Linked DNA regions of Ovis aries. Each later gene encodes a partner of the first gene's protein in a complex. Links are inferred from orthologs where the notes say so. Each region holds a gene or a part of one and is shown in the gene's direction. Other genes may lie near its edges.

What was found. The genes of interacting proteins can lie anywhere in the genome.
Region 2: the proteins of GABBR2 (region 1) and KCTD16 are in contact, whole or in part, in a crystal structure (PDB 6M8R), measured with the Homo sapiens proteins. The link is inferred for Ovis aries from reciprocal best matches to the Homo sapiens genes GABBR2 and KCTD16. Residues at the interface, in NP_005449.5 of Homo sapiens: Ile882, Asn883, Ile888, Gln889, Arg891, Leu892, Ser893, Leu894, Gln895, Leu896, Pro897, Ile898, Leu899; in NP_001357415.1 of Homo sapiens: Asn30, Gly32, Gly33, Gln34, Val35, Tyr36, Asp64, Leu65, Ala66, Lys67, Asp68, Ser69, Arg72, Phe74, Gly79, Phe80, Arg83.

Annotation. Positions count from the first base shown.
Region 1 is NC_056055.1:49,126,084-49,130,215, forward strand, and holds the start of GABBR2 (gamma-aminobutyric acid type B receptor subunit 2), read left to right. Parts: upstream 1-1,328; 5' UTR 1,329-1,375; coding exon 1,376-1,696; intron 1,697-4,132. UniProt on the Homo sapiens protein: Component of a heterodimeric G-protein coupled receptor for GABA, formed by GABBR1 and GABBR2. Within the heterodimeric GABA receptor, only GABBR1 seems to bind agonists, while GABBR2 mediates coupling to G proteins.
Region 2 is NC_056058.1:52,974,040-52,978,157, forward strand, and holds the start of KCTD16 (BTB/POZ domain-containing protein KCTD16), read left to right. Parts: upstream 1-1,310; 5' UTR 1,311-2,063; intron 2,064-2,427; 5' UTR 2,428-2,750; coding exon 2,751-3,582; intron 3,583-4,118. UniProt on the Homo sapiens protein: Auxiliary subunit of GABA-B receptors that determine the pharmacology and kinetics of the receptor response. Increases agonist potency and markedly alter the G-protein signaling of the receptors by accelerating onset and promoting desensitization.

The DNA of each region.
Region 1 (4,132 bases):
GGTTAAGTTCTCAACCTTGTTTCAAGGTCGTCGGTATTGCCCACAAATGGTTGGTTCAAGGTTTTCTGAAATGATGTTGCCCCCCTTATTGATCACCTCTTGGGATTTTATATTTTAATGACCATGATTCCTATTGTTCAAGCTTGGAGAGGTACAAGGACCCGAGGCTCTAGGTCAGATTACAGGACTGCTAATTAAGGTTAGCCATTGCAGCTGGCGCGATCTGTCAGACAGAGGGCCAGGTCAAGGGGAGCTTGGATCCACTGTGGCCTGAGGATAGTACTCCGACCTGGACAGGCAAGGGTGGGAGAATTCCAGGGCGGAGCCCCCTTTGGGAATGGGGACATGGGGGAGGTCAAACGCCTGGAGGGGGCGATCGCACACGCAAGGCGAAGACTCCAGGCTCCTGAGGTTGGCAAAGGAAAGCTCAGACTAGACGGAAGAAGGGGGCTTTCAGCCACACCTTAAAGGCCAGAAACCTCAGCACCAAAGGGCATTCAACCGCCGGCGGTATTTTTGGCCGCTGCTTCGGGCTCAGTCATGGCCCCCCAGACACCAGCGTAGAGCAGGGGAGTGTAGGCTGCAGGTGCCTCTAGGACGCCTCTGTGGCGCGCTCGCAGACCAGACCTTCCCAGCCAGACCTCCGAGAGGCAGTCCCAAATCATCGTGCAGGTGCTACAGGAAGCGCTCGGCGAAGCGACCGTGGCCACTGCGTGTGCCAGCACGCCTTGCTCGTTCCTTCAGCCGCTGTCCCCCAGAGCTCAGGTCCAGGCGGTCGCGGGGCAGCCAGCGCGGCGGAGGGCCGGGGGCGCGGGTGTGCGTGTGCTGGGAAGGCGGCCTTCCCCGCGGCCGCCGCAGCGCCAGCGCCTCCCCTCCCCCGGTGCGCACGGCTCGTCCGGGTCCCCGGAGGCGGCCCGAGCCGCCGCGGAGCAGCCTCGCCTTCGCCTCCCGCGTTTCCTGCAGCTCGCCCTCCCCCGGCCGGGCTCCAGGGGCTGCTGCCGAACGGCTCGCGGCGGGAGAGCAGCTCAGAGCGCGCACGGGGGCGGGCGGAGGCGGCCTGGTTCGGGGCGGCCGCGCCGGAGAGAGGCGCGCGCGGAGACGCCGGCCCCCCTCTTCGCGTTTGCTCGCTTGCTCCCCGCCTCCCGCACTCTGCTCGCTCCCACCCCTTCCCGGCGTGATTGATCCGTCACGGGCGCCGCCGCTGCCGCTGTCGCTGCCGCCGCGGCCGTTCTGTGCCTAGCCGGAGCCTGAGCCCGAGCCGGAGCGGGGATCGGCGCCATTGCGCGGGCGCCGCGGGGAGATCTTGGCGCGGGGCGGCGGGCCGGGCCAGGCCATGCGGGCCGAGTGAGCCGGCGCCCGCAGCCCGCGGCGCGGCATGGCTTCCCCGCCTAGCTCCGGGCAGCCCGGGCCGCCGCCGCCGCCGCCACCGCCGCCCGCGCGCCTGCTGCTGCTCCTGCTGCTGCCGCTGCTGCTGCCGCTCGCGCCCGGGGCCTGGGGCTGGGCGCGGGGTGCCCCCCGGCCGCCGCCCAGCAGCCCGCCGCTCTCCATCATGGGCCTCATGCCGCTCACCAAGGAGGTGGCCAAGGGCAGTATCGGGCGCGGCGTGCTCCCCGCGGTGGAACTGGCCATCGAGCAGATCCGCAACGAGTCGCTCCTGCGCCCCTACTTCCTCGACCTGCGACTCTACGACACCGAGGTGAGTGTCCGGCTGCCCGCGCCGTCGGGGCTGTGGGGGGAATGGGGCAGGACGTGTTGGACAGAAGCAAGCTTCGGCCCTTGGGCAGAGCCTTCATTGAGGCTGCCGAGGGCACCTCAGGCTGGGGCTCAGTGCTTACCCTCTGGGTCCCGCCGGGCTTGGCTCGCACAGCTGGTGCCAAGATTTGCTGAGCATCTTTCCCCTCTGGGATTGTGTCTGTGTGTATGCTTGTGGGATGTGGGATAGAAAACTAGGGTCTCCTTTGCCCAGAGAAAGAGGTGGTAACTGAACCTGCCGAAAGGCCTGCAGTGGTCACCCCTGCCCAAGTCCCGCTGGTGGGGCTGTGGAGTGCTAGGTGGGAAGAACAGGCGCAATGACCATAAACTGGGCCATCAAGGGCTGGAGAGGCCACGGGCCTGCTCGCGGGCCTCAGAAAAGCCGAGCTGAGCTTTTGAGGTCCAGAGGGCTCGGGGACCCAGGGGCTGGAGCGCGCATCAGGGCTGGGCGCCTGGTGCGCGCCAGCAGCTTGGAACCCGCACCGGTCCGGCCGGTGTGGGGCCGCCGGCTCTGCAGCGCTGCTTGCTGCCTGCAGGTGCCTGGCCCTGCCTGTGGCCCTAGCGGTTTCCTGAGGAGACCCCTTCCGGTTAGTTGCTCAGAGTGTCCCGAGCAGGTCTCGCCCCGGACGCGCGAGTGTGCGGCCGCGCCGCTGCTGGTGGCCGGGCGGCTGCCGGCGCAGTTTCCCGGGGCGCAGACTTGAAGCAGGACTTGGAGCGCAAGTCGGCTTGCCTTCCCGGCCTCTTTCTCTGAGGGGAGCAGAAGAGCCGAGAGATTTCCGTCCTAAGCCCCCTCCTTACACCCTCAGCTTGCATTCCAGCTGTAGCAACAGCGCACATCTCCGCCGGCCCGAGAACTAGGGTGCGCCGAGGGGGCTCAGAGGAGCAATCGCTGGCCGCTTGAGGTCGGGTTTGCGAGTTTTTCCAGACTGAGCGAGCTCCTACGCTCCGGCCACAGCGGCTGAGACGCGGCCTGAAGGGGGCAGTGATTTCCTGTGCAGAACGCTCGGTTGGCGCCTCTTCCACCGCGCCAAGCCGGGCCAAGGCAATGGGCTTAATTGACCCGGCTTCCTGGGGTCCCTGGACACTTCTGCTCGAGTCCTGGTGTAGAAGGGGAGGGGAGGGTCGTCGTGCCACGCTGATGGGGCACCCTAGGCTCCACTTCCTTCTCTGTGTGACCCCCGCCCCCCGCCGCTTTTGGGTCCCCGGAAAAAGCAGGAATCTGGATTGCATCTTATTTCCCGCCTCCCCCCTTCACGGATGAACCAGTCTGCTCTGCGATGTAAATAAAAGGTGAAGGAACGGGTGGCAGTTGGTGGCGGTGCCCGGAGGTTGCTGCAAGCGGAGAGGCTTCCTTTGCCCTGGGAGGATGTAAGCTGGGAACTGTGCAGAGCCAGCCCCTGTGGAATCATCTCTGAATGACATTCCTGTCTTCTCCAGAACATTTCAAGTTCTCTGGGGGTACTTGTCCGACACACATAAACAGAGAGGGCAATGCAATTATACCGAGCCATGTCTTCTGGGTACTGTTTCTCTGTTGCTCAATCTTTTTTTTTTTTCTTTGAAAAGGACACAGGAGAGCGGGTTCTTTGGAGACAAAACCATTTATGGACAGGGCAGCCCTGTTTGCATCATCACCAAATATTGTCAGCTGCATCATGTTTTCACCAATTTATTCCATTCAGAAAGCTTCCCTGAAAGAGACGTCATATTAACTTGTTAGTGGCAGCAAAGGGAAGGGTGCTCAATTTCAGGACGTGGGTTGATGCTTTTATATTGTATTTTCAAGTGTGTCTTGATGACTTTCTGAGTGAGAGGGGGCCTAAAGTCAAGAGGATGAGACAGTCAGAAGGCACTTGAGCTCGAGGGAAGGAGGGCAGAGGGTAATCTCAGCCTCATGCGAGCAGAGGCATTTCTAGCCATTTGAAGGGGCACAGGGCATGGGCTTTGGGATGGCTCTGACCTGAGTCTGGTCAGAAACCTAGCATCTTCCCCGTGGGTGACCTTGAGCAAGGGATTTAATCTCTGTAAGCCTAGATTTCCACTTCTGAAAACCTGGGACTGTTATACGTACTCCGTTGGATGGTATTGTGACGCTTAAGGGAGATAACTGGCCGGAATGGAAAATGCCTTGAGCTGGCAGCACAGCGGCCAGTCCTCTGGCATGCTGTAAGCGCTCAATAAATGTTTCCTGCCTTCCTTTCCTTTCTTGCTTTCCCTTTCCTCTGTCCTAGATTCACAAGTAAGACACTGCAACTTTAGATTTGGTAAAATGGTCACCACTAAAATGTTAAGTTTGCTTATTTGTTTTTCCTCATCTCATGAAGAGTCAGTGAAGTTATCACCAGAAAAAAAGAATCTTGGCTTAGAATCAGATAAATAT
Region 2 (4,118 bases), on another chromosome or scaffold:
CATCAAATAACAAGCGCATCCTTGATTGGTCCAGCATTAAAATCCCAATGATTGAGGCCAGAGTAGGTTAATACATTAGTTAAAGAAACAAAGTTAAATATAATCAGATATTGGAGTGTTAGCTAATACTCTGAATGTGTTCAGTAACCTGATTCTTATTGAAAGAAAAGAGTGTTAGATCAGAAATTATTTTATGCTACTGCTGAGTCTATCTTCATGCTAATTCTTGGGGCAAGAGCTGGCAATAAACCCATGTATCCCATAAAATGTATCTAATTCACACATTTCTCTCCAGTTTTGGTTTTAATCTTTTAAAAATAGCAGTTGTTTGGAATGGAGTGTGCCCCGCATATATTATTCATGGATGAAGTACTACATTCTCATTAGGAATGTGAGTCCTAAGACATTGGTGTTTGAAAGGGGAAATGGCTGACTTACTGTAAGCTGTTGCCTGGGCCATTATTGACTGGCAGGATCAACTGGAAGCACTTTGTTAGTGGATTAGGTTGCCCTGGAAATGCCTTCCTGAAACTCTAATGATGCACTTAAGGGAACCCTCTGGGACAGGAGTAAAATGTCTCTTTGCAGGCGTGTCTTCCACTAGAGTCCTCTTGGGATAAGATGGGAGGGGGCGGGGGCACATCCAGAGGGAAGCTTCGTAAGGAAACAGACCCAGAAAAAAGTTGCAGGTAACGATGTCTTACATGGAAGCCAAGATAATGACTTACTGATAGAAACCTTGTTTTTTCCTGAGGGTACCAGTTCTTCCTATAGTCTTGAGAAGGAGCATCAGTAATTCCAGAGAGACTGAAGGTATGGATGTATATATTCATCATTTATTTATTTGCTGGGGTGAGGGTGGCAGAGGAATGGAGAGAAAGAAACAAAAAAAACAAAAACAGGAGAGGGCATCTGAGAGAATATGGCTTAGTTCTCTTGGGGGGAAAAAAACCACTTTGTAGCTTGAACATTGGGGTCACTGGGTACGCTTTTTTTTTTCCTTTTAAACAAGCTTTAGAGGGGTAATTTGCCCTTCAGCAGAAATTTAGTGCACACTCAAAAGAATTGTTTGTTGGTTTTTTAAAAATGAAAAACCGCCGTGTTCATCTGGGTTGAGGGGTTGTTTCTGGGGCATGGTGGTGGCTGTGGAGGTCTAGAGACAGCACGAAAGGGCAAAGCAAAGGCCCTTGGAAACTCCAGACTCCGGGACAGGACCAGGAGGGAAGCGACTGCGTCGCGCTCCGTCCCCGCCCCGAGCCCGGAGCGCCCGGGGGACTCGCGTGCCCACGGCCGGAGCGCGGCGTCCCCGTGCCGTCCCGGCGACCTGCCACCGAGGCGGACGTGACTCGGAGCTGCCTCCGCTCTCTCCAAGCCATATTCCTTTAAGATGATGTAATAGTCATTTCCCTGGATGGTTTCTTGCCTGCACTGCTGAAACAACAGCATCCGAACTGCACTGGGAACTGTGGAACCACCCAGCTCCTCCGCCGGAGAAGCCCGAGCCCGAGCCCCGCGCCGGCATCTCTACGCCGCGGCGGCCGCCCGCTCCCACCTGGCTGGGAACATGGGAGCCCGCTTGCCCTTGCCGGCAGGTGGGGTGGCTACCTGGGACCCCAGCAGGGAGCATCTGTCTTGCTTCTGGGCTTTCTGAAAAGCTTCCAAGTCCCGGTACCTCTTGCAACTCTCTTTTGTTTTAAGGATTCTTTCCAAAGGTTTGATTTTTTTTTTTTTTTTCCTTCCTGGAGAAGCTTTGAATATTTTTCTCTGCTTTGCTTCTTCAATCCAACCACCTCTAGTCACGGTTTAACTTTTTTGTGACTTGTTTTAACTTGAGATTGGAAGTGAATATATACATACATATACGCAAATATACATTTATATAAATATTTATATATATAATTATTATTTTCTAAGAGCACATCTCTCTGGCACTTTTCATTGATACCTCTGTATTTTACCTGTTTGGGATTTTGACAAGCTCCAGACTCTGTGTGTGGCTGGGGATTTGGACAGCTTTGCAAATGGGTATTTCTTCACAAGAACTGTTTCCAGCACTCACTGAGGTAAGTTCCAGGGCTTATTGCTTTTCCTCTCCAGCTGAGGAAAGAAAATAAATCTCCTTTTAGAAGTTGAAAATTGCATATTCATTTTTAATGCAGAAATCAAATAGAAATGTTTTTAATACTAAATGCTGGAGACAGAGGGATATAGATAAATATGTAGACACGAAATACCTTGAAAGAAGCTATGATTTAGTTGAAGAATGGCTGAAATCAGTAATTCCAGGGCTGCTTATGTAAAATAATCTCTCCCTCCCTCCCTTTCAGTTTCCCTCCCTCCTTCTACCTCCCTCTCCTCTCTCCAGCAGTCTCTTTTTTTCTGACTCATGCTGTGTTTGAGGAAATAATTTTCTCTCTTTTCCTGCAGACAGACCTCTCAGTAACTGAGGACCTGACCGGCCTTGCCTACTGAGCTTGGGGGAAAACTGGATGCAGATGAGTTGATTATATTCCATGAAGTCATAGCTCACCACCTGCCAGGGTTTAAACTACTTCTGTAGCATCACTTCACCTGTGGACTCTTTGAAATTTTGCTTTGTTGGGGGAAAAAAAAACTGGGGTAAGAGGAGGTTGTTTTTAACAAGTTAACATCCTCTCCCTCCCTTATAAGTTGCTGCAAAGGATCAGGCTGTGACTCCATTGGATCGCTCCTTCACATCAAAATAGGAGAAGAGAAAGAAGAAAGGGACCATGGCTCTGAGTGGCAACTGTAGTCGTTATTATGCTCGAGAACAAGGGGCTGCAGTTCCCAACTCCTTCCCTGAGGTCGTGGAGCTGAATGTTGGGGGTCAAGTTTATTTCACTCGCCATTCCACATTAATAAGCATCCCTCATTCCCTCCTGTGGAAAATGTTTTCCCCAAAGAGAGACACAGCTAACGACCTAGCCAAGGACTCCAAGGGAAGGTTTTTCATTGACAGAGATGGATTCTTGTTCCGTTATATTCTGGACTATCTCAGGGACAGGCAGGTGGTCCTGCCTGATCACTTTCCAGAAAGGGGAAGACTGAAAAGAGAAGCTGAGTACTTCCAGCTCCCAGACTTGGTCAAACTCCTGACCCCCGATGAAATCAAGCAAAGCCCAGATGAATTCTGCCACAGTGACTTTGAAGATGCCTCCCAAGGAAGTGACACGAGAATCTGCCCCCCTTCCTCGTTGCTCCCTGCTGACCGCAAGTGGGGTTTTATTACTGTGGGTTACAGGGGGTCCTGCACCATGGGCAGAGAGGGGCAGGCGGATGCCAAGTTTAGGAGAGTTCCCCGGATTTTGGTTTGTGGAAGGATTTCCTTGGCGAAGGAGGTCTTTGGAGAAACTTTGAATGAGAGCAGAGACCCTGACCGAGCCCCAGAAAGATACACATCCAGATTTTATCTCAAATTCAGGCATCTGGAAAGGGCTTTTGATATGTTGTCAGAATGTGGATTCCACATGGTGGCCTGTAACTCCTCAGTGACAGCATCTTTCGTCAACCAATATACAGATGACAAGATCTGGTCAAGTTACACCGAGTACGTCTTCTACCGTAAGTACAGAGTGTTCTTGTTGTTTTCCATGTGTATGGATTTGTTTAATAGATATATATGTATATATGGTCTGCGTGTTCAGTCTATGTCTAAGGAATGCTGTTTGGGATTTTTATTTTATTTTTTTAACTCTTGAGGTATAGCTAGAAGATTAGAGGTTATAATCAGCTTTCATGTTTTACCTAAGGTAACTTTTGTTTTCCCAATCAACTCACAGGCTATTTAAAGGCCTCAAAATGACAGTATACAAATGATATTGGTATAGATAATATGTGAAATGAAAATAGATATGTGTGTCTGTCAGATATTGAACTGTGAAGATAAGGCAATGATGAGAACTTGGCTGTTGGGTCATGGGAGTTCGGTAGGCTCAGAGTGGCTGAAGTGCTGCTGACTGTTGTCTTATCTGAACTTTGGAGTCTATTAAGCTGGTTTCTGAAGACTGGCTTTCATCAGGGACGTTGAAAGCAAAATGGATGTTGCACTGAATGACGTGATCTTGGCTAGATGGCAGTACAGACTGATGAAAGACCCC